3 linked regions of the Saccharomyces cerevisiae S288C genome follow. The gene in region 1 interacts genetically with each later gene. Each region holds a gene or a part of one and is shown on either strand. Other genes may lie near its edges. The genes, in order: HFA1, CTP1 and ERG9.

Region 1 (11,214 bases):
TTGTCAATTTTTTTCGAATTTCTTTCTATGAACTCCACTACTGCTCTGTCATCATTAACATCCAGATCGTTATACCATGACTGAACTATTTTCAACAGGTCGTCGTACTTCATTTTCGTTTTGTTATCACATGTTTTTTTTTGCAGTCTTTTGATCACTTGTCCCTCGTTCAACCTCCTTCTCAGTCTCCAATATAAAAATCTGCGTGACTTTTTCCATTCCAACTCATTTCGGATTACTCCTTTAACTAGCATCCTAGTCGATCTATCATGTAAATCTGCAAACTGTATGCTGATTTGATTGTAAATTGGTATCAACTGTCTCTCTCTTATTTTCAATCTCTTCGTAAGATCATTTTGTTTTTCCAAAGATAACTTTTTTTCTGTCAACGTTCTTCTCAAATGTCCATATGTGGAGTCTAATCGAATCATCGTCTCTATCATTTTCTCCTTACGGTATTTTATGCTAACTACTCCGTCAGGTTCTAACACACCTCCCCTAGATTCAACATCGGCATACATTTCCATTTGTTCAGGATTAATAGTTGGATCTATAACAACCCATGATCCGCCCCTTAATTCACCAAAGGGCGGAATGTATATCAGTATGGGTTGTTTGTAGTCAACCAGAGCGTCAACAATAAAAGACCCGTACTTTAGTACTTCATTGTACATATCCCTTTGACCGCCAGAAAATCCCCTCCAATTGGCTAAGATAATCAATGGTAATTGCTCACCATAGTTAAAATCATTTATAGTTTGAGCTGTTTTGAACGCGGAATTTGGATACCACACCTGTCCTGCTTCTTTAACGGAAAACTCTGAAGAATCCAGATTAGCTGGGTCAGCGGGGATTATTTCTTCGATAGTCTTAGTTTCTACCGCAATAACACCCACGGGAATACCTCCAAGACGTGCTCTTCCAACTATTACACCTTTGGCCCATCCAGATAATGTCTCAAAAAACGAATCCTTATCAAATAGGCCTGACTGGAAGTTGTTATTTGAGTCCCATTTACCCTCTATCAACCACCTTGCCTCATATGGCACTTGCTTGGCAGGTTTGAAGTCTACATCCCTATCCCATCTATCCATAGTTTCAAGAAGTGGAGGACTCATATCTCTTTTCGCCGGGACATATGATAACCATGTCATTATTTTTTCGATGGCTTTCATATCATTACTGGCTGTTAAATGCGCTATTCCGTTTTTATACATGATTTGGGTTCCGCCAATTTGTAGGTTAGATGTATAGATATCGGTACCCAAAACTTTATTAATCGCCGATGCACCCGTCAGTATGATAGGCTTATCCTCCACCTGAATAGTACGTTGTCCTAGTCTGACCAGATAGGAACCTATACCAACGGACCGACAAGTAACAGCAGTAATAGTGAAAATGTCTCTATACGCTTTCGAAGTGGCACCAGCAATTAAACCCGAGCCCTGTAAACATTCAACACCTAAACCCTCTTCGAATCCGACTATTGCTTTAATAATATATCTCTCTTCACCGTATACCATCTTGTGTTCAACAACAACCGAATTTCCTTTCCCAGAATCTTTCAGTAGCTGCATGTCTTTTGGAGCTAAGTATAAGTACTGGAAACCCTTTGTTGGATCAGAGGGGTCATTCCATGCTACACGAAATAGAGGGATCAGCTCTTCGGCTATACCCAATTTAGCTCCTGAATTCGCCGCCAAGTATATCCTCGGGATCCCTCTCTCTCTTGCATAATTTGTGACCCTATCAAAAAACAAATCTTCTCTCGGTCCAAAAGATCCAATATTGTAGGTAATATCATTAGAAATCACGATCATGTTACGCCCTTCAGGATATTCAGGTGTCTGAACCATAATCTCAAAAGCAACCATCCCTATATTATTAAGGCCTGGCTCCCTGTTTACTTTTATTAAATTACCGTTTTGTTCTATCAATTCAACCCAACTAAAAAAACTGTCATTCAGCTTATGTTTTGGAAAATACCTTTTCCACTGTTGGATTGCAGCTTGATGAAACAGACCTGGGAAATCGTACACATATGTTGTACCCATGAATTGAGCTTTGTACCTTTTAGGTTGTAGCCAATCCTTGACCGAGTAAGGAAGAGAGAGAGATTTCTGGCTATAATGGCTCTGCTCACTACACGGTTCCAAAATCAGATTCCCATTTTTCCCTATCTTTTCGTAATATGTCTCAATTTTTACCACATACCCAGATTTATTAGAAATAAGTAATCTAAGCGGGGCTGGCTTCTTTGTTTCTAGGCACTCAACAGAGATGCAAATTTCTACATCTGTGATTCTTTCTTGAAACAATCTGGTTTCGTGAGTCTTTAGAATTGTACTCACAATTTCCTCGAGACGATGTACTGGTATGTTAAGAACTGTATTGAAACTTAAAAAAATATGATTCAAGTCTGAATTTGAGATGTCAACTGCTCCTAGATGTTCTAACATATAAACCACTTGAGCATTGATTTCCGCTTTCAAGTTTTCTTCGGTTGTTTTTTGATCATTATACATGAAGGAATTTATGATTTTCCTGACAAAGAACCTTTTATCTAGCGGCGTAAATTTGCTAATACCTTCAAAAATGCGTATACTACTATCGTATGTAGGTAGTGATCTGATTTTATAGTTCGACATTTTTCCTAACTCTAACGGTGCTTCATAGGATGGATCCATATTTCTTATTTGAGAGATTTCATCGTACGTAGTTCCATCAAAGGAGTAAAATTTAACAGCGGGCGCATTCGCGGCGATAAATGCAAATGTAATACGATTAACCTTGAGCTTGGATAGACCTCTCTCATTTTCATGAAGTTTAATTTTTAAAGTTTTAATTAGATCATTTTCACTTCTGTAACGAATAGGAGATAAAATATTAACAATAAGAGAGTTCTCTCCGCTGGAAAGTCTTTCCTCAGGAATATGAATTTGTTCGTATACCTCGTCTAATGTCTTTTCCAGAGATTCAAGCGCACGCATGTTGACAAGAAGACCAAAACTATTTGCTGAGCTCTTACCTGATGTTGAGGGAGGTTTAGAAAGTTTTGTAAACTCATCACTCTCACCATCAGAATTGACTAAATAATTTCTTAATGAGCTGAATTGCCATGACATTAGTAAATCAGGCGCTCCTTTATGAATCTTAATACTTTTTAATTGATAATTGCCGTAGGCATACCTTGCATAAATTTCAGATGCTATACTGGAAAGAGCCGTATCTTGATGGCCAAAAAAAAAGAACAAATCCTGAAGTTGTATCAGATTTGAATGTATTAAATTACCAAAATCCCTCATACAGGAATATATGTTCCTGCTGTGAATGTTTTCGGCACCAGTATCCTTTATGTGCAATTGCAGGAGAGTTTTAATATGCTCTTTTCTTTTCTTTATGGGAGGGAAAATCCCTCTGAGTAGCACTGATCTTGCCTTTACAGCAACCTCTTTAGCCCACTTAGATTCCAAACTTGCCAAATCATGTATAACAGCCCTGAATTTTAAAGACATCTTAGAGGAATCCTGGCACAATGGCTCGTATTCATGCAATATTGCAGTTACTAACTTGTTCTTTGCGACTACGTTAGCATGCGATAAACTTATGCACAAAATTTTTTTCAAGTTTGTAAGGTCTTTCCTCCGCAGATTTAGTAAGTTTCTTTCTTCATGTATATCATGATTTTCAAAAATTTTCTCAACAGCATAGTACTTTTTAATCAACTTTAAAAAAATTTCACATTCGTGATTAGCTAAACCTTCGCTATACCTTTCACTAATTTTAAGAAGTGGCTGTAAGGCAACATAAACTACATGATCATTTGTATTTTCTTCCAAGTAGCGCTTCATTAATTTGTGCAGTTCCTTTGCAGGAAAAGAAACAGATTTCTTGACTAGATTTCCCAGCCCCTCATTCAATTGCCTTGGTAGTCTATTGCGTACCGTAGAAATTTGGGAATCCCATTCTGAATAAGGAAGCCTACCATCTCTCAATATTTTTATCAACTCTTTTAGAGTAGTTTCTATTCCAGAGTTTTCATGATATCCATTGAGAATATTTTCTAACCTATTTATTAAGACTCTGAGCTTATGGTTTGGTCGGCTACCCTCTATTAGCGGTGGACCTAAAACAGGTAATTCTCCGCGGTATAAAGACGATTCGTTAGCTTTGGACGGCGAATCCAAAGTCAATTTTGCGATGACATCACCAGCCTCAATTATGGAACCGGGCTGTCTTAGTAACTCAATTACACCATCACTTTTCGCTACTAGTGGCATCTGCATTTTCATTATTTCTATTTCTGCATATTGCTGTCCAGCAAAAACGTGATCACCACTTCGGACCAAATATTTCACCAATTTCCCCGGAGTTGGAGAGATCACTTGAGTGGGATTGAGTTCAGCTTCTAAAAATATGGTATTGGAGTCTATCGAAAGTCTTGTACCTCTGATATCGTCCTTCCAATAAACTGTATGGCATTTACCGTCAACGGAGATCAACAAGCAGTCACTGGACAATTTTTGAACATTAACTTCACATTGAGACTTATTGATAGAAAGAATAAATTGTTCTTCAGATGATTGAGCAACATTGAACAAGTATCTATTATTATCGAAAATGAAGTCAACAGGAAACTTCGTTTTAAGAAAATCTTTAGGTGGAACTTGGCCCCTCCGCAATAATTCCAAATACTTATTCCTCACCTTTTCTGTGAAAACGTATGCTTTCATTGCGGCACCACAGATAATAGCGAGCGTTGGATCTAGTTTGCTATCGGAAGATAAATTTTTCAAAATCAAATCATCTAACCAACCAGTCGATATGTTATTACTCTCAAAGTCCCGAGTTTCTAATAGCTCTATCAGGTACTCTATGGGGGTTTTGAATTCTCCTCGGATGGAAAAATCTTTTAGAGCTAAAACCATGTTTTGCTTTGCATCTTGCCTATCGTTTCCTACAGCAAAAATGTGCCCAAATTGGGAATCTGAAAATGAGTGAATAGCACCATTATTTCCTACTGAGAAGTAACCCCAAACATTGGAAGAAGAACGAAAATTGAGCTCATGTATTTTCCCAGTGGAGGGCTTGAAACCTTCATTAGGATCTTCTGAAGTGATCCTGCATGAAATACAATGGCCTTTTGGCGAGGGTCTCTTTAAATTTTTAAAATCAATATACGAAGTTCCCGTTGGATCTAAACCATAAAGTTTTCTGATATCACTTATCATGTGCATAGGAATGCCCATGGCGATTTGCAGTTGAGTGGCAGGAAGGTTTACGCCAGATATCATTTCTGTCGTTGGATGCTCTACTTGTAGTCTCGGATTCAGTTCTAAAAAGTAAAATTTATCATCTTTTGGTGAATATAAGTATTCGACAGTGCCCGCAGAAACATAACCTACCAATTCACCTAGACGAATTGCTGCGCGTTCCATCCTTTGAAACGTTTCAGGCTTGGTTATTGTCACTGGTGCCTCTTCTATAATCTTTTGGTGCCGCCTTTGTATGGAACAGTCTCTCCCAAACAATGTAATGTTAGTGCCATATTGGTCAGCTAATAACTGTACCTCTAAGTGACGAGCATCAGTGACAACTTTCATAACAAACATAGGCGACCCAGGTGTCTCATTCACTGCTTGGCGATATAATGCAATAAAATCATCCTCATTATCTACTCGCCTAATGCCCTTACCTCCACCACCTTCGGATGCCTTAATCATTACAGGAAATCCTATTAATTTAGCCTTTTCTAAAGCATCTTCAGGTGAGGAACAACATCCCCTTACATATACATCATCCGGCACAGATACAAAGTTCGTCTTGTTATCGATATGGATAGTGTCTATATGTGAACCAGACCAAGGGATACACGGGATTTTAGCGCTTTGTGCTACAATAGTGGAAGAAATCTTGTCACCCAATGATCTCATAGCGCGTCCAGGAGGACCAATGAATAGTATTTTCCTTTGTGAACTAGCTAACAGCTCAGGAAGACACGGATTTTCAGAAGCATGGCCCCATCCAGCCCAGACCGCATCCACATCCGTTTGCTCTGCCACGTCCAGTATTAAGTCTATGTTGGCGTAATTGTTGTTGTTGGTACCCCCTGGTACCTGCACATATTGGTCTGCCATTCTAATATACTCCGAATTTGCGTGTAAATCATCAGGTGTCGCCATTACCACGAATTGAATGATTTTTTCATCATTGAACGTCTCGTACGCCCATTTTCTTATAGATCTCATTTCTTTCACCGCAGCAATACCATTGTTTGCTATTAAGATCTTTGAAATAACAGTATGTCCACCACGTAAATCAACAAAATCTCTTAATATTGAAGGTTGGGCACTTTCCACAGTATTTAGCCCTATGAACTGGGGCGGTAATCGAGTATGTTTATGAATATTGCCTCGATCCACATAATTGGAATACCTTCTTCTAGATGGAAAATTCAAACCTATTCGAGATGAATGCCTATACGAATGGGCAAAAATGCGTTTTCTGTATTCAGGGCGCTGTCCTTTCAACCGTACTATCTGGCTGCCCGTTATATTATAGAATCGATAAGGATCCAAATATAACGCGAGCTTGTACTGTCCTATTCGAATGCAAGTAATTGTGAATATGGTAATGTAAAAGTGAGAATGTATCCGGCGAGCCCCCCAGCTTTGGCCGTGTGTAATTGTCTTCCCTTTCTACCCAAGATGACTTCTTCTTTATCATTCTTCATTATTCATCTTTTCTTGTCATCTGCCGCCCACCCATTTTAGTTACCCTAACGGAAACATTGATGAATGATGCTATTATTACTGTCATAAGCAATAAAAAGAGAGGTTCCTACTACTTCTCCCGTGGAAAGCTAGCGATAGCCTTGTACTCTATCTCACTTTCAGAATGCGTACACATTTATGTTTAAAGAGGCGTTTTGTGCTAGTTTTGTCTCAACGTGTATTTTATCGGTTGTAATTGTACTGACAATTTTCGGGCCTCGTTTGGCTGTCGCACTGAAATCTTCGACAGGGTATCGAAGAACGATACAACGATATGCCTATAAAGGTTAGTTAGCCATGATATTACTTCCTGGTTAGCTGGTGCGCTTCTTAGTCCTAACTTGCAAATTTATATCTACGTATAGAAAACTGTCAATATGTCATTACCGTTCTTAACTTCTGCACCGGGAAAGGTTATTATTTTTGGTGAACACTCTGCTGTGTACAACAAGCCTGCCGTCGCTGCTAGTGTGTCTGCGTTGAGAACCTACCTGCTAATAAGCGAGTCATCTGCACCAGATACTATTGAATTGGACTTCCCGGACATTAGCTTTAATCATAAGTGGTCCATCAATGATTTCAATGCCATCACCGAGGATCAAGTAAACTCCCAAAAATTGGCCAAGGCTCAACAAGCCACCGATGGCTTGTCTCAGGAACTCGTTAGTCTTTTGGATCCGTTGTTAGCTCAACTATCCGAATCCTTCCACTACCATGCAGCGTTTTGTTTCCTGTATATGTTTGTTTGCCTATGCCCCCATGCCAAGAATATTAAGTTTTCTTTAAAGTCTACTTTACCCATCGGTGCTGGGTTGGGCTCAAGCGCCTCTATTTCTGTATCACTGGCCTTAGCTATGGCCTACTTGGGGGGGTTAATAGGATCTAATGACTTGGAAAAGCTGTCAGAAAACGATAAGCATATAGTGAATCAATGGGCCTTCATAGGTGAAAAGTGTATTCACGGTACCCCTTCAGGAATAGATAACGCTGTGGCCACTTATGGTAATGCCCTGCTATTTGAAAAAGACTCACATAATGGAACAATAAACACAAACAATTTTAAGTTCTTAGATGATTTCCCAGCCATTCCAATGATCCTAACCTATACTAGAATTCCAAGGTCTACAAAAGATCTTGTTGCTCGCGTTCGTGTGTTGGTCACCGAGAAATTTCCTGAAGTTATGAAGCCAATTCTAGATGCCATGGGTGAATGTGCCCTACAAGGCTTAGAGATCATGACTAAGTTAAGTAAATGTAAAGGCACCGATGACGAGGCTGTAGAAACTAATAATGAACTGTATGAACAACTATTGGAATTGATAAGAATAAATCATGGACTGCTTGTCTCAATCGGTGTTTCTCATCCTGGATTAGAACTTATTAAAAATCTGAGCGATGATTTGAGAATTGGCTCCACAAAACTTACCGGTGCTGGTGGCGGCGGTTGCTCTTTGACTTTGTTACGAAGAGACATTACTCAAGAGCAAATTGACAGCTTCAAAAAGAAATTGCAAGATGATTTTAGTTACGAGACATTTGAAACAGACTTGGGTGGGACTGGCTGCTGTTTGTTAAGCGCAAAAAATTTGAATAAAGATCTTAAAATCAAATCCCTAGTATTCCAATTATTTGAAAATAAAACTACCACAAAGCAACAAATTGACGATCTATTATTGCCAGGAAACACGAATTTACCATGGACTTCATAAGCTAATTTGCGATAGGCATTATTTATTAGTTGTTTTTAATCTTAACTGTGTATGAAGTTTTATGTAATAAAGATAGAAAGAGAAACAAAAAAAAATTTTTCGTAGTATCAATTCAGCTTTCGAAGACAGAATGAAATTTAAGCAGACCATAGTATCCTTGATACATTGACTCATAATCAGTTAAATAGCCATTCAATCCCTTTGAGCTATCAACTTCATATTCCTCCACAAGGTCCTTCCACCCGCGAATTTTACGCAGCCGACTTAATTCATCTCCTGTAAATTGGACCAAGGGTTTGGTGCCATACTTTAATGGACCTACATTGACCCAATGCAGCTCTTTACAGTATTTCTTTAGTGCTTCAATACTGGATAGATATTCAAACATATTTTCCGCGGTATCTATGAAATATGCGCTACAAATGATAATTTTATCATAGTCTTTGGAAATGGGAGAATATCGTGTGAAGTCCCCCCATAGTGGGTCCAGATTACTGCGGTGGCCAACTTTGCTCAAATCTGCCGATAAACTTCTCAACTGATTATCAAACACTGTCTGGCATGAATATTGTTGTACAAAAGGACGTATCTTAACGTCATGCTTATATTCGAGTGCAAATAGGTTACATATGTACATCAAGGCTGATAATTCGATGGAGTCCACCTGTATTTTGGGGAAAGTGGTGGCAAGAGTATGGGATAGGCCACCCACACCAGCCCCTGGGGTCACGATAAGAATTTTCTCTTTCATGTCCCCGGCACTAATCACATGATGGTTGATTCTACTAATGATAAAATTTTGTAAAGGATCTCTTTCCACACTATAGTAAGAGCTGAAATCACGACACAAATGTGCTAATGCTTCATGGACCACACTTTGGCTGCCTCGAGACGAAACTATTGGAAATACGAAGTCAGGATTCAATTGAATAAGGTGACCATCTTTAATCTTATAGCCGTGTTCCGCGCATATCTTTTCAATTTCCTCTGTAAATTCTTCATCGTGTTCGTTGGAATGAATCAATTTCCCTAAAGTGAACTCAATTATCTTGTCAATAACTCTTGCGTTTTCTCGGATACCCTCATTATTTTTCATTAATTTGGTGAAGTAGCCTAATTTTTGCAACTGATCTTCTGAAATTCCATTTAATTGTCTTGCTCTCCGAAATAAAAGGCCATTATAGCCTTCTCCTCTTGCTCGATACTCATGTAAACGGATTAAATTCCCCGTAAGATCAGGAAGAGTGGGAATCTGATAATTAATTTTAGAAAGATTCGATTGATCGGCAGATATTGATTTCTCAACATCAACCAATTTTAAGGAGGGCGATAAAACGCTGACTTTTTGGGCCAGATTTGATTTTCTTGATAATAGCTTTTCAACATATGATACAAACCACCTCTGCAACGGCTTATTTTGCCTTAGCAGTGTCATCAGGACTACCACAAGGGCTAGAATTATATTTGATGCCAGTGAGCTAACCATTGGCGCTCCTCAACTTCGTATATCAATATTTTTACCTCTTCTATTTCCTGAAAAATTTGTTAATTGTACAGCATCGTTTACGTTTTTTTTTTTTTACGGGTCTTCTTACCTAACCCCGAAAAGTATTGTGGATCTTAAAAGGGTCTCAATTATTTGAAGTTCGATAAAAACCAACTACTTTGTTATTTTAAAACTGTATTATACAAACGCTGGTAAACTTCCAGAGACGATATGCGTCTAAAAGAATTGTTACCTAATTTTTTGATTGTTCATCAAGAGGTCCCTGAGGATCCTATTGCATTCAAGTCCACCGATAAACGAGAGAATGAAAATAAAGAGATCACCATCCCTGAGCTAATAGATACTAAAGTTCCTGAATTAGCTGACGGTGCTACTGACACTTTATATGGTTTACTGGTCAATGGCCATTTACAAACTGCATATGGTTCCTTTAGACACTTTGACAATATATACAAAGTTCAATATAAAAGAATGATAATCAAATACCCACATGGGGGAGAAGGGACTGTGGATTTTGCTGTAAATGGTAGAAGTACCAAAAGAAGAAAAGTGGAAAAAGAATACGTGCCGACAAGTCAACCGGTATTTAACGGAAACTTGAAACGAAGATATTCGTACTATTCCCCTGATGATCCTAAATTGAACTCAGACGATGCTAAGCCTATGCTTATTATTCTCCATGGATTAACAGGGGGTTCGAGGGAAAGCTACGTGAGGGCAATTGTTCATGAAATCACCACGAAGTATGACTTTGAAGCATGCGTGTTTAATGCTAGAGGATGTTGTTATTCTGCAATTACAACGCCGCTATTATACAACGGTGGTTGGACCAATGATATAAGATATTGTGTTAATGACTTGAGGAAAAGATTTCCGAATAGAAAGTTTTATATGATGGGATTTTCGTTAGGCGCATCTATAATGACAAATTACTTGGGAGAAGAGTCAGATCGTACTAAAATCGAATGTGCTATTTCCGTGAGTAATCCATTTGACCTGTACAACTCTGCATATTTTATTAACAGTACACCAATGGGGTCACGATTTTATTCACCTGCTTTGGGTCACAACTTACTACGCATGGTTCGAAACCATCTCTCTACTCTGGAAGAAAACCCTGATTTCAAAGATGTTATCGAGAAGCATTTAAAAAAGATTCGCACTGTGAGGCAATTTGATAACTTGTTGACAGGCCCAATGTTTGGATATAAAAATGCAGAGGAGT
Region 2 (6,377 bases), on another chromosome or scaffold:
GCAAAACCAACAAGTATACTTATCGAAAGTACAACGACACTGTAGGAGGAATTGACCAGCTCCATAGGAATAATCGCTCTAGCACTTGTTTTCCTTTCGTGCAATATGAACAGTAAGAGGATTATTACACTCCCAACTAATAGCAGTAGCACAGAAGGGCTGGTCCATGATAATTTAGAAGTAGAACACCCCAGGCTCAGGTAAAGAAGCTGTAGTGTGAGACCAGTTATAATAAGAATTGAGCCCATAACATCTATGTCCCTGAGTATTTTTCCGGGATTTTGGAATATGCTAGAATTTTGACGATTATATTCTTTCTGATTAGGTACATAATAATTCATTAATATGGAACTAATCACAGATATGGGTACTTGGATGAGAAAACACCACCTCCAACCAATGCTCGACGCTATTGTGCCACCGAAAGACGCTCCACATATGGCACCAAATCCCAAAAGTAAATTCTGAAACGCTTGAAAAATTCCTCTTTTCGAACTTGGAATAACGTCTGAATTTACGATTGTAGAAAGTGTGATCAAGCCACCACCTCCTATGCCTGTCAATGCTCTCATAAAACTAAGCATGTAGATGTTTTTCGAGAAACCACAGGCTAGACATCCAATGGTAAAAGCCCCATTAGCAAAGAAAAGGCAGTTTCTTCGACCAAGTGCATCAGAAAATGACCCATAAAGAGGTTGAAAAGATGTTGATGTAATTAAATACGCAGTGGTGATCCAATTTGAAATACTCATCTGATTAAATTCGTTACCAATCGTTTGGTACGTCGAAGCTGTAACGGTTCCGTCAAAACCGGACAAAAAGACATTAGAAAAAAGAGTAGCTTCAATAATCCATCAATTTGGGATTCTTGAAAGCGCTATATCTTCGCCTTTGTCCAAGTCCTCATCTAAGTCTTCACTGTAGTCGACAGAAGGAATTTCAGTCTCTTCAATACTGCCATAGTTTCCATCCTTGCTTTTCGGTAGTACTTTGTGTTTACTAGATTTAAGCATTGCGAAAAAAAATCTGATTTGGAATTAATGTTTCATTTACTACATTTTAAAGCATTTTGTACCATTCAGAGGCAAGAATTGGCCAATACTGTGTGTTCTTATAACGATAACTAGTATATATATTCTCGAAATTGTATATTTCTGTGGATTTGCACACAATCATCTAATAGCAAATTAGGAAGAAAGCCACACATGCACATATATCGCATCACTTACCGAGCCTTAGAATGTGGTTGCCACACATTAGGACATGTTACCCCCCGCACCTAGCAGAAATATAGTATTAATCTATCAGTGCTCAACACAATGTGATATCAGTACAATTCTTCATGCCATGGTACGTCGTCTCTATTTTCTTTTATATTCTGTTTATTATATCATGTTCTAAAAATGTCATATATACAATTCTGAAAAGGTTTTTGACCCTTACGTAACGCTATTCGGTCAACTACTTGTGAGACATATATTGTTCAAATATGTAAATGAAGAAAAGTACGCCTATTACTAGGATCCACAATACCGTAAAGCCTGTTAAACAAGGAGGAACAATATATATATCATAATTTTTTTAGAAAGAAAAGCCAAAGAAACAGCATTTGCAGGCACAAATCCGTGATAATAATGCATAGAACAATATGTGAAACCCCACAAGGTTACTGGTCGGATGATGAGCGAGCCCAGAGAAACCAACAGACCTCTGTAAACATCACTATGCCTTATCACCACACTTTACCATAATGCATTGAAAGTGCAATTGGAGAAGCCACCAATAGACGAGCTATGATGATATATTTAGCGTCCCTTAAAATATCGACTTATACAGTGGATAACATTTCCGCTCGCATTCCTCGAAGAGCATTATTTCCAAACTACTGTTGAAAAAAAAAAAATACGAAGACGACGCTTACCTGAGCACCCAGGATGTACACTTCGCCACAAATTTTGAGAGGCCTTTTGTTGTGATATTAGTTGAAATATATAACCACTTAATCAGGCAAAAAGACAGCAGTCACTATTTCAAGTTGGTAAAAAAATCCTGTTTTCGCTAATTGTCGATTTGGCCTTTCACCTGGACTTGAAAGCTTCAATTACGGCCTGATACATTCATTCTTTATACTGACCTTTGCCCAATTTATTATCCAGAACTATAGCCATTAGGTTGCAGGCCACTGGGACCACCACTGACTGGAAAATATTCTATTGACGAATTTTCCGCAACTCATCGCTGATTAGTTTATGAACTTATCCCGTCGGAATGAGAAAGTTACATATGCAGGAATTCTCTACAAGCAGCAATAACATGCTTTTATTTTACTGTCGTATTGTAATTGCTTATTCGGTTCCAAACATGTCAGCTATGCCAATATTTTAGAAGAGTGGGAAAAAAAAGAGATGTTATAGACGAACGACAAAAGTTGTGAAAAACTCGAATGGAGTAATGGAGCAAGAAACAAGAATCTGTCATAGTCAATACGTGATTTTGATATGCTTTCAAGCTTCTGAGAACTTCATTCATTACACTCCACCACATATACTATACAACGAATAGCCCAGTCGAAGAGGTTATGATTGTGTTCATTTATTTTTTTACATGACAGAGTCTCCCTATTGATACTAAGCTTGCTGCAATAACTCTTCTTACTAAGAGGTAACTTACATCTTGACTTTTTAATGAAGTTCCCAGCCGATTACCATTATACGTCGCCGTTTCGTTCATGTAAATATTCAAATATACTACACTTTATATCTTTGCTTCTTATATTTTCGCGCGTAGGTTTGCCTAATTACATTTTTATATTCCTCATCAATAAAGCCGCCAACAAAGAGCACAGGGTAGAAACTCTGCTGTCTGGGAACTCGGCTAACGCTTGTAAGCTATTTAATATTCTCAAATCATTTCAACACCTCTTTTTTTTTTTTCAAATATGTACTATTTTCTCTATTTCCATTAAGTTAGTCTTACTGAAGAGTCAAGAATATGGAAGAATTCCTGCGGAATTTTCAATTATTAGAAGTGAAAAAAAAAAAAAAGAAGAACAATGAAATTTAGTCTCACTTTAGCGTGATATATAAAACGTAAAATGTCGAAGCCAACGTAAAATTAAAAACATTTTGATGTCACAATGAAAGAACTCCAAAGTAGAGCTTGAATTATAAATTAGCATTTTACCGATGTCCAGTAAAGCTACCAAAAGTGACGTAGATCCATTGCACTCGTTTCTGGCAGGGTCCCTAGCCGGTGCTGCTGAAGCATGTATAACATATCCTTTTGAGTTTGCCAAAACAAGGCTGCAGCTGATTGATAAGGCCTCCAAGGCATCAAGAAATCCTCTGGTATTGATATATAAAACTGCAAAAACTCAGGGCATTGGTTCCATTTATGTCGGATGTCCCGCATTTATTATTGGAAACACCGCTAAGGCGGGTATTAGATTTCTTGGCTTTGATACCATTAAAGACATGCTAAGAGATAGTGAAACTGGAGAACTAAGTGGTACAAGAGGGGTGATAGCTGGGTTAGGTGCGGGACTATTAGAAAGTGTTGCCGCAGTGACTCCTTTTGAAGCAATCAAAACTGCTTTGATCGATGATAAACAATCTGCTACACCAAAATACCATAATAATGGGCGCGGTGTAGTACGAAACTATTCATCATTAGTCCGTGATAAAGGATTTTCTGGTCTTTATCGTGGTGTTTTGCCAGTTTCCATGAGACAGGCCGCAAACCAAGCCGTTAGATTGGGTTGTTACAATAAGATTAAGACCTTGATCCAAGATTATACGGATTCGCCAAAAGACAAACCTTTATCATCCGGGTTAACCTTCTTAGTGGGTGCATTTAGTGGTATTGTGACGGTCTATTCCACCATGCCCCTTGATACTGTGAAAACAAGAATGCAAAGTTTGGATTCCACCAAATACTCCTCTACAATGAATTGTTTTGCAACCATTTTCAAAGAAGAAGGGTTAAAGACGTTTTGGAAAGGTGCTACGCCTAGACTTGGGAGATTGGTCTTGAGTGGTGGTATTGTTTTCACTATCTATGAAAAGGTCTTAGTTATGCTAGCCTGAAATGTATTATTGTGTACAATATATCATCTAATGTTTTCTACTCGTTATAAGTCTATTTACCAGCCGATCACTTAAAAAAGTTATATATCTCTTTTTATCATAATGAAGAAGATGGCTTATGCTTGATTTTGACTTTGGTTGAGGTATTTCTTTTCCAATTTTTTGACTTGAATGTAGTCGTATATACTCTTCAGGGTGATAAATAGCCCAAGAAATGCCACAAAAACAGCCAACCATGGTATGTTTTGTTTTTCTTCATCCAGACCGTGATTCAAATGTGATTCAAATTTATCTTGTGTCGTTGATTGTGAATTTAGACGAACATCATCGAATTCATTTGGATCCTCTAATTCCATTCTATTTAAGCTTTTATTTTTGCCGACTTTTGAAGTAACATCATTGGGAATCATTGAATAACCATATCCAATGAACGTTAACCCTAATCCAAACCTTGAACCTTGCTTTGCTGCGTGAGATGTGTGTAAAATGTAGGTTATTAAAAATCCAATGAACTGAAAACTCGTGCTTACGATGATATTCCATAATAAATTTGCTATATTTCCTACAGGAAGCCCCTCAATGCATATTTCGTCGTAGTAGATATCTGAATTGTTCAAATCCATTCCATAATACGAGGGGGCCATATCAGCAGCAGCTTCGTCGTATGTAGGTGGTATGTCTTGTTCGTTATTACCTTCAGTCTCTGTGGTATCTGGTTTTGCGCTTAAATTGCTAAAGACACCATCAAACATGGCACCTTGTTGTATATCCGAAGACTGTTGTGTACGTTTCTTAAAAAGTCTATCAAGAATATTAAAATGTCTTCCTATTTTTCCTATATGTCTGGCTGCTTGTTCCCTCAGCTGGTGTGGTACTAGTCTTTCTGTCGTACTATTTCCTCCACTGCTGCTTCCCTCGTCCTCTATGCTATCTTCCTCGTCAGACCCTATTTCCGTTTCCCCTTCTACGCCAGTTTGTGTGTCTCTAGTTCGTCCTGCGTTTCCGACATTTATGCCATCAGTAGATGAACCTGCATGAAGTGTATTCATTTCTTGCCCTATAAGTAGTTCTTGCTCTGGCATAGCGCTTAGTTTCCTAGACTACGTGTTCTTGTTATTCTCATGCTCTTTTTATGTATCTAAATTGGAAGATTTTTATAAAGGTTATGTACTATTCTTCTAAAAAAAGTAGGCGCAAAGGGACTCCGCATCGTATAACACGATGATAATACAAATTCTTCCACGGTTATTTACATCTCCGGTATATTTTATATATGTGTATATATTTTCTATGTATTCTGTGTGTTATTGTTACTGCTACCATTATTGCTATTAGTCAACAATGTCGCTTCGCTATCATGTGGTGCTACTGGAGGTGCTATAGGAAGACTAGGTGTAGGTACCGATTTACTAGCTGCCCCACCTGGGATTACTGGCTGCAGTGTGGGATTGGGTGAATTAGTAACAGTGTGATTGGCAATCGGGTTTGGGATTGAAGGTATCGTCACACCAGCGCGAATGTTACTATTCAGCTTAGTTTTCAGCGATTCTGGACTCGGAAGCATTGCATTGGTGCCACTACTTGTGTCATTGGGCGCTGCTGCGAACTCTTCTTTTGTATTAACTTTCCCAGGCAGTTTAATAGAAAGTAGTAGCGAATGACCCGGAATATGGTCAATAATATAACAAGGAGGTGAAACTGGCTTAGGTCTATCTGGCCTGCTTTTATAAGTGGTTGTGTTTCTCAATTCGTACGATTCCACAGAAGGGCCTACGTCAACACCACCAGGCATTAAAGTGCTAGGTACTGGAGTCCTGAAAGTTCTTGGAATATCTGCAATATCTGGCAGTAAAATCTCTCCTGGTGGCAACGATGAAGCATTTCCTGCTGCTACTGTGTTGTGAACGCCGTTCATAGATGTATTACTTGCAGATGTGCCGGACAATGCGAGCATACCACGTCTATTAGATCTACCTTGTCTTCTTTTCCTTCTTGTGTCTCTGTCCTTATCTTTATCCAATCTCTCTAACTCTGCAGCTGAAATCTGTAATAGGTTTGGAGTAAAAATTTTGCTTTCCGCTGCAGGCCTATAAACATCATCAAGAGTAATCGTTGGGAGCATTCTGCTTCTAATGTCATCATCTTCTATCGCTGATCCATCAAAATTGTAACCTAACAGTGCCAGTGATTTATGATACATATGAACTTGCTCTCTTATGGAGTGAGCAATGGCAGTCACAAACTCACCTGGTAGTTCTAATTCTTGACACATGGACTCTGCAAACTCTTCTG
Region 3 (6,687 bases), on another chromosome or scaffold:
TAAATCTGCGGTATACTTCGTCACAAAGTCCTTATCATTGCGAGAGCCTCGGACCCATTTACCTAATGCACTAAACATATTTATGTTATTCTTTTATATCCGATCTCCTCTTTGTATGATTTTTGTTTTCTTAAAATATACATGTCAACGTTAGCATCTTGAATTTCATTTTTCCTTTAATCTTTTTTAGTAAGCTAACCACTAATATAGCCAAAGGAGTGATAGAAAAAAGAATTATCACTATCATTCAGCCCAATAAACAGCTGAAAAGAATGCCTAGTGTAGATATAGATGCTAGTCAATGGCAGAAGTTGACACAGTCAAGAGAAAAGCAGACCACGGTGATAACACCGCTTGGGATGATGATGCTGGAGATTCAAGGTGAACTAGAGTTGCCTAAGGACTTTGCGTCGCTGGCGAGGAGAGATTCTCCAAATGAGGGAAGGTTCAGTGAACAGGACGGCGAAACTTTAATACGATTTGGGTCGTTACAGATTGACGGAGAGAGGGCCACATTGTTTGTCGGCAAGAAACAGCGTTTACTGGGGAAGGTGACAAAGCTAGACGTACCGATGGGTATAATGCATTTCAATTCGAAAGATAATAAGGTCGAATTAGTTGATGTAATGAAATATAAGGTTATCTTTAAGGATAGGCCTCTACCTATTATGTAAGTACTTAGTTATTGTTCGGAGTTGTTTGTTTATGTTATTTGGCGCAGACTTCACGCTCTGTGTAAAGTGTATATATAATAAAACCCAAGAAGAACGGACAAGATGATAGATAAAACCATATTGAACTTGTACTCTTCTTCTTGTTGGGTTGGAACCAATTCATCATCGTATCTGGATCTTTCTTTAACTTTCAAGAAAATTGGAGTTTCATTTGGCTTCACGTTAGGAGGTAATTTATCCTGGTACATTTCTTCCATAAACTGTTCGATCTTGGAGATTTGAATGTTCAATTTTAAGAAATTTGGATCTTGCACAGCCAATTTAGATTTGATATCACGTAAGTAATAGTCAAAAATCTCGACACAGCCACGCAAAGTCCTTGATTTCAAAATTAAATAGCAGGTAGTACCCTTACGAATCTTTACATTGCCATGTAGCACTTCACGGTTGTTGAATACCAAAGCCAAGGTTGCAATGGCCATAACTTGGGGAATGGCACAAAATTGGAAAGTGGATTGCTCGTGGATACCGGCCAAATAAGTCAACACATCGATAACATGACTCAATGCGTTTAAGACGAGGTGGTTTATACAGTCCAACCCCAGTTGTTCGTTTTCAGGTTTCATGAAGTCCTTCAACTGAGGAGCGTATTGTGACCAGATTTCCTTGGGCCAGAAGGATCTACCATCGACCAAATCTTCATTGTAATCTCTGATGATGTTGGTTTTTTGTAGGAAAAGACCCATGCTTTCATACAATTGCTCATTAGAATACAAAGATTCGTTGGCAAACTTGGCAATGACAATCAAACGGGTCAAACCATCACCGACCAAACCAGCTACGTAGTGACAGTACACGTCGTAGTCGTGGACGGTTTGCAACCCATTCAAGTTGTAATTTTCATCTAAGATGTAGTCGGCCATACCATTACCCATTTTCTCGGTGATCTCCTTGATGACTTCTTGATATTCTGGTTTCAATTTGTGGAATTCAATAAGAATCGATTCGAAATCTGTCAAAACGGCTCTGTCCTTCACATCGGGGGCATTTCCGTCGAAACTCCATTTAGTTAACAACAATTTCTCGTGGAAGTGACGCAACAAGTCAATTTTCAAATCGTGTTCGATGGACATATCGTCTTCGATGGTATCCAAAGCCCTTAAAATCAAATAAAAGAGAGTAACACAGTTTCTCAATTCTGGATGCAGCTCTCTGATCACAGCAGCAAACGATCTGGAGGTCAAGTTCAACAGTTCGAAACAGTGCAAGAGATATGGAGACGTGGACTGATCATAGATGGAGAATAGCGGTGTTCTGCAAAACTTCAGCTTCAAAGCTGCCTTCATCTCGACCGGATGCAATGCCAATTGTAATAGCTTTCCCATTGTGTGTGTGTGATATGTGACGTGTATACGTTTTCCGCTTCTGCTCTTCGTCTTTTCTCTTCTTCTGTGCTCTTATTCTTTGCCCCTGTCCTAACTTTCCATTTATATAGCCCGTGGTCGTGTTCTCGCTGCTCGTTTAGGCACTAAACCCAAAACCGATAACGCCTTCCGATGCAAAGTGCAGTGGAAAAGAAAAAGGGCAAAGCAAATAGGATGGTAAGTCGGTATTGTTGTTGAAGATGGGCTATGAAATGTACTGAGTCAGAGCACGCCAGGCAGCAGGTTCACTCTGTGTAAGCAAGGTTTGTAGTTCCTGCGGAGTTAGAGCTCCCAGAACCCACCGGGACACGCTCGCAGGGTCTCTAGAACGGGACCCAGGTTCTCTGCCGATTCCAATAGCCAATTTGGCAAAGGGTACACGGCCTCCACTGCATTTTAGCAGGCTTCGCAGCCCATTATGACCTCTAATACTGGTGCTGGGGGCTCTGAGCTGCACTTTTCCACACGCCACACTTAACTCGTCATGAATAACTACGTGTCGGGCTTGGTACTTGGCGTACCGGGCCCAGACCTTGCACACCTGTTCTCCACTTAGATTCATGTACTGGCCATCCGATCTTAGTATCGTACAATGTTCGTCTTCTATATAATGCACTTTGCCGCCCGTATTAGGCACAGGGGAATAAGTTCTCCCCTGCAGACCAAGCCGCTTTCGTAGCAGCTCCAGCATATATAGCCCTACATTGTGACGGGTACCAGCGTACTGAGGCTCTGGATTGCCTATCCCGGTCAGCACTAGTCTCCATTTACCGGACATCTTCCTTATCTGCCTAGAGTCGACTTGTTCCTACCTACTATTTTGCATATTATAGGAATAGTTCGAGATTATTTGAAACCGCCGGACCTTTTTGCGCTGGGCGATCTTTTACACGTAGTTTTAGTAGCCAATAAGTAAAAGGAGAGCGGAAACAAGTGTTCAAAGCAAACAAAGCATAGGCAAGACGACGATGATCCTCACACTGGCCTATTTCATGCTGGGCACTCTACTACTGGGTGTGTTCGCAGAAGACACGGTGTCGCAGATTGGTATAAATGACAGTTTATGGTATCCGTACGACGAAGCACTGGTGTTGAAGCCGCTGCCCAACAATGATCTGCTACTCTCATTTGCATTCCAACTGCAATCGGAACCGTTTGACCCGGCCGTATCATCCATGTCATATGATGCGTATGAGCACTACACGACTTTCCCACGGGCCATCCCACCATTGTTGGAATCTACTGCCACGCGTCAGTTTCATTTAAGATTTACCAGAGGATTCTGGGATGCCCTGTCGTGGGGACAGTTGCCACATGCTGGAAAAGAGGCAGGTGCCTCAGGTGTGGAATTGTGGTCGCAAGTGCAGGCCATGGATCAGGAACAGGCGTTCCATAATTGGAAAAAACTGTCCAATTCATTGAGCGGATTGTTTTGTTCTTCTTTAAATTTTATCGACGAGTCAAGGACGACCTTTCCCCGGCGGTCATATGCTTCTGATATAGGAGCTCCTCTTTTCAATAGCACCGAGAAACTGTACCTGATGCGAGCATCGTTGCCCAATGAACCCATCTGTACCGAGAACTTGACGCCGTTCATAAAACTATTGCCTACTAGGGGCAAATCCGGTTTGACATCTCTCTTGGATGGTCATAAATTGTTCGACTCTCTATGGAATAGTATTTCCTTGGATATTGCCACTATTTGTTCTGAAGATGAAGATGCTCTTTGTCACTACGAGATGGACGCACGCATAGAAATGGTAACACACGTTCCCTCCGCCTTGGCAAGAGGTGAGAGACCTATCCCCAAACCTTTGGATGGGAACACATTGCGTTGTGACACGGATAAACCCTTTGATTCTTACCAATGCTTCCCTCTACCGGAACCTTCGCAGACTCACTTCAAGCTGTCTCAGCTGTTTGCCAGACCAATAAACAATGGCAACCTGTTTGCTAATAGGCCCACAAGAATTTGTGCAGAAGTTGACCGTTCTACCTGGACTGCGTTTTTGTCAGTTGACGATACTATTTTCAGCACACATGATAATTGCTTTGACTTATCAAACGATCAAAATGAGGGTGGTTCGGGCTACGACTTTATTTTAGAATCGACGGACACTACTAAAGTTACTCCCATAGTTCCTGTCCCAATTCACGTAAGCAGATCTCTGACTGGTAATGGACAAGATCGTGGTGGAATGCGTATTGTTTTCCATAACGACAATGATACCCCTGTGAAGTTGATTTATTTCGAATCATTGCCATGGTTCATGAGAGTTTACCTATCCTCTCTTCAAATTACTTCTACTACCTCTCCGCAATTGCAAGAAAACGATATCATCTTAGATAAATACTATTTACAAGCGGCCGATAGAAAAAGACCTGGCCACTTGGAGTTCACGATGTTAATTCCAGCTAATACGGACATTGTAATGACTTATCAATTCGATAAAGCTCTTCTGCAATTTGCCGAGTATCCACCAGATGCAAACCATGGTTTTGAAATCGATGCAGCTGTAATCACCGTGCTATCTTTGGAGTCCTCATCGTCTCTTTATGAAATGAGAACCTCTACCCTATTGTTATCCCTGTCTACACCGGATTTTAGTATGCCGTATAACGTCATCATTCTAACATCTACAATCATGGGACTCATATTCGGTATGCTATACAATTTGATGGTGAAGAGAATGGTCACCGTCGAAGAGGCCGATAAGATTACGTTGCAATCTGGCTTAAAATACAAATTGCTAAAGCTAAAGGAAAAGTTCCTAGGGAAAAAAAAGACTAAAACAGACTAACAATCTAGCATCTAGATATGTGTATGAAGTATACGTAGTTTACATAATCTGGAAGCACTCACTATTTACCATCAGTTTCTACTTTTTAAAAGGGATCCTCATATGGATCCTCTTCATCATAATCGTCATCCTTTTCGTACTCATAAACAATAGCACCCCCTTGTCCAAAGCTTTGTGCCTCCAGAAAAGGCAATGCGACTTGATCTTTGGCCAGCTTCTGTTTGTTGGATGTTCCTAGGTTGAATGTTGTTAATCCTTGCAACATTTCGGGTGTCTCCAGTCCGTTACTACTGCTCTCCTCTTCTTGCTTAGTGGTTGATAATAATTCATATTCGTGGGTGTTTGAATTTACTATGAAGTCGTATTCCAATGACCTGCCGGACTTTCTTTTATTAACAAGTCGTAATTGAAATATATCGTTATTTAACCCGCGAGGAATTCTAAATTCGTTTAACAATTCACTCACCTCCTCAGTATCGAGAGTGCCTGTTAATACCACATCAATATCTACTATTGTAGTGGCCATAAACTGCAGTAAAGTCAACTTATCAGGATAATTGTTATTCCAATCAGGTATTACCGTACGGTTCTCATCTTTGATGTCTTTATGATAAGTCGCAACCATCGTGCAGTGAGGAGAGGCGATCTCAGACAAAAACCTTGTTATGTATTCTGTAGAAATATAGTTCAATGAATCGATAATGACCATGTGCTTTTTTGCCTGTGTGGCAGTAGCAGCCGGTAGATATGATATAATTTGTTTCACTAAATGTACAAAATCCATCTGCGTAGCGTCAATAAATTGAGTACAGTACGATGGTTTATTCACTGTTTCGAACGAAATGTACACAATTGGATACTCATTTCCTTTACTCTTGCTCTGGTGGACGAATTCTTGGATGAGCTTGTATGAGGTCTGGGCAATAGAATCTAAGCACAAAATGAAAGGGGAGCTTTCTGTGAGCGATAAGATTCTTTTCAAAAGAATGACAGGGTTATGTGACGAACTGGCCATTATATCTTGTTCTACCTGTAGCAATAGCTTGGGTTGGAGCTATTAAAAAGCTCTTAAGTTATCATTCTCCAGAGGTTATAATGGCATCGCTTCTTATATTTGGATTTTTCAAGGTGACCCGCACTATGAGATGATAATCAAGGCAGCATTAATAGTATCAAAAATACTTTAATAAATCATCAATAGGTAGTACTTTACATAAGTATATAGAGGATTTTAAAACTTGTAAAGTTATTTTCGAATGCATTTGGTTTGTAGATTCCTTTGATTACATTTAGCGAATCCTATTGCATGCAGAGAAGGGTAAAAGATACATAATGCCGGAGATTTATGGACCTCAGCCATTAAAGCCACTCAATACGGTGATGAGACATGGGTTTGAAGAGCAATACCAAAGTGACCAACTTTTACAATCACTCGCGAATGATTTCATATTCTACTTTGATGATAAACGACACAAAACTAATGGAAATCCGATTCCTGAAGAGGATAAACAACGAGATGTAAATCGTTATTACCAGCCGATTACCGATTGGAAGATTATGAAAGATCGACAGAAGACAGTAAGTGCGGCCCTTTTATTATGCTTGAATTTAGGTGTCGATCCCCCTGATGTTATGAAGACACATCCCTGTGCCAGAGTTGAAGCATGGGTAGACCCATTGAATTTCCAGGACTCGAAGAAAGCAATAGAACAAATTGGTAAAAACTTACAAGCACAGTACGAAACTCTGTCTTTGAGAACACGCTATAAACAAAGCTTGGATCCTTGT

Evidence for each region.
Region 2: mutations in HFA1 (region 1) and CTP1 together harm fitness more than expected from each alone (negative genetic interaction), as found in Saccharomyces cerevisiae (2 studies listed by BioGRID).
Region 3: of HFA1 (region 1) and ERG9, changing one enhances a phenotype caused by changing the other (phenotypic enhancement), as found in Saccharomyces cerevisiae (one study listed by BioGRID).

What each region holds. Positions count from the first base shown.
Region 1 is NC_001145.3:677,317-688,530, forward strand, and holds the start of HFA1 (acetyl-CoA carboxylase HFA1), read right to left. Parts: upstream 6,249-11,214; coding exon 1-6,248. Other genes in the region: ERG12 (mevalonate kinase), read left to right, coding at 7,151-8,482; YMR209C (uncharacterized protein), read right to left, coding at 8,595-9,968; MGL2 (putative carboxylic ester hydrolase), read left to right, coding at 10,200-11,214. UniProt on the Saccharomyces cerevisiae protein: Catalyzes the rate-limiting reaction in the mitochondrial fatty acid synthesis (FAS) type II pathway. Responsible for the production of the mitochondrial malonyl-CoA, used for the biosynthesis of the cofactor lipoic acid.
Region 2 is NC_001134.8:781,381-787,757, reverse strand, and holds CTP1 (Ctp1p), read left to right. Parts: upstream 1-3,185; coding exon 3,186-4,085; downstream 4,086-6,377. Other genes in the region: VBA2 (Vba2p), read right to left, coding at 1-752; YBR292C (uncharacterized protein), read left to right, coding at 2,685-3,056; BSD2 (Bsd2p), read right to left, coding at 4,202-5,167; SNF5 (Snf5p), read right to left, coding at 5,374-6,377. UniProt on the Saccharomyces cerevisiae protein: Transport of citrate across inner mitochondrial membrane.
Region 3 is NC_001140.6:480,217-486,903, reverse strand, and holds ERG9 (bifunctional farnesyl-diphosphate farnesyltransferase/squalene synthase), read right to left. Parts: upstream 2,060-6,687; coding exon 725-2,059; downstream 1-724. Other genes in the region: LNP1 (Lnp1p), read right to left, coding at 1-78; CTF8 (Ctf8p), read left to right, coding at 273-674; PTH1 (aminoacyl-tRNA hydrolase), read right to left, coding at 2,304-2,876; GPI-anchor transamidase subunit GPI16, read left to right, coding at 3,067-4,899; Elongator subunit IKI1, read right to left, coding at 4,985-5,914; ubiquitin-binding TORC1 subunit KOG1, read left to right, coding at 6,232-6,687. UniProt on the Saccharomyces cerevisiae protein: Squalene synthase; part of the third module of ergosterol biosynthesis pathway that includes the late steps of the pathway. ERG9 produces squalene from 2 farnesyl pyrophosphate moieties.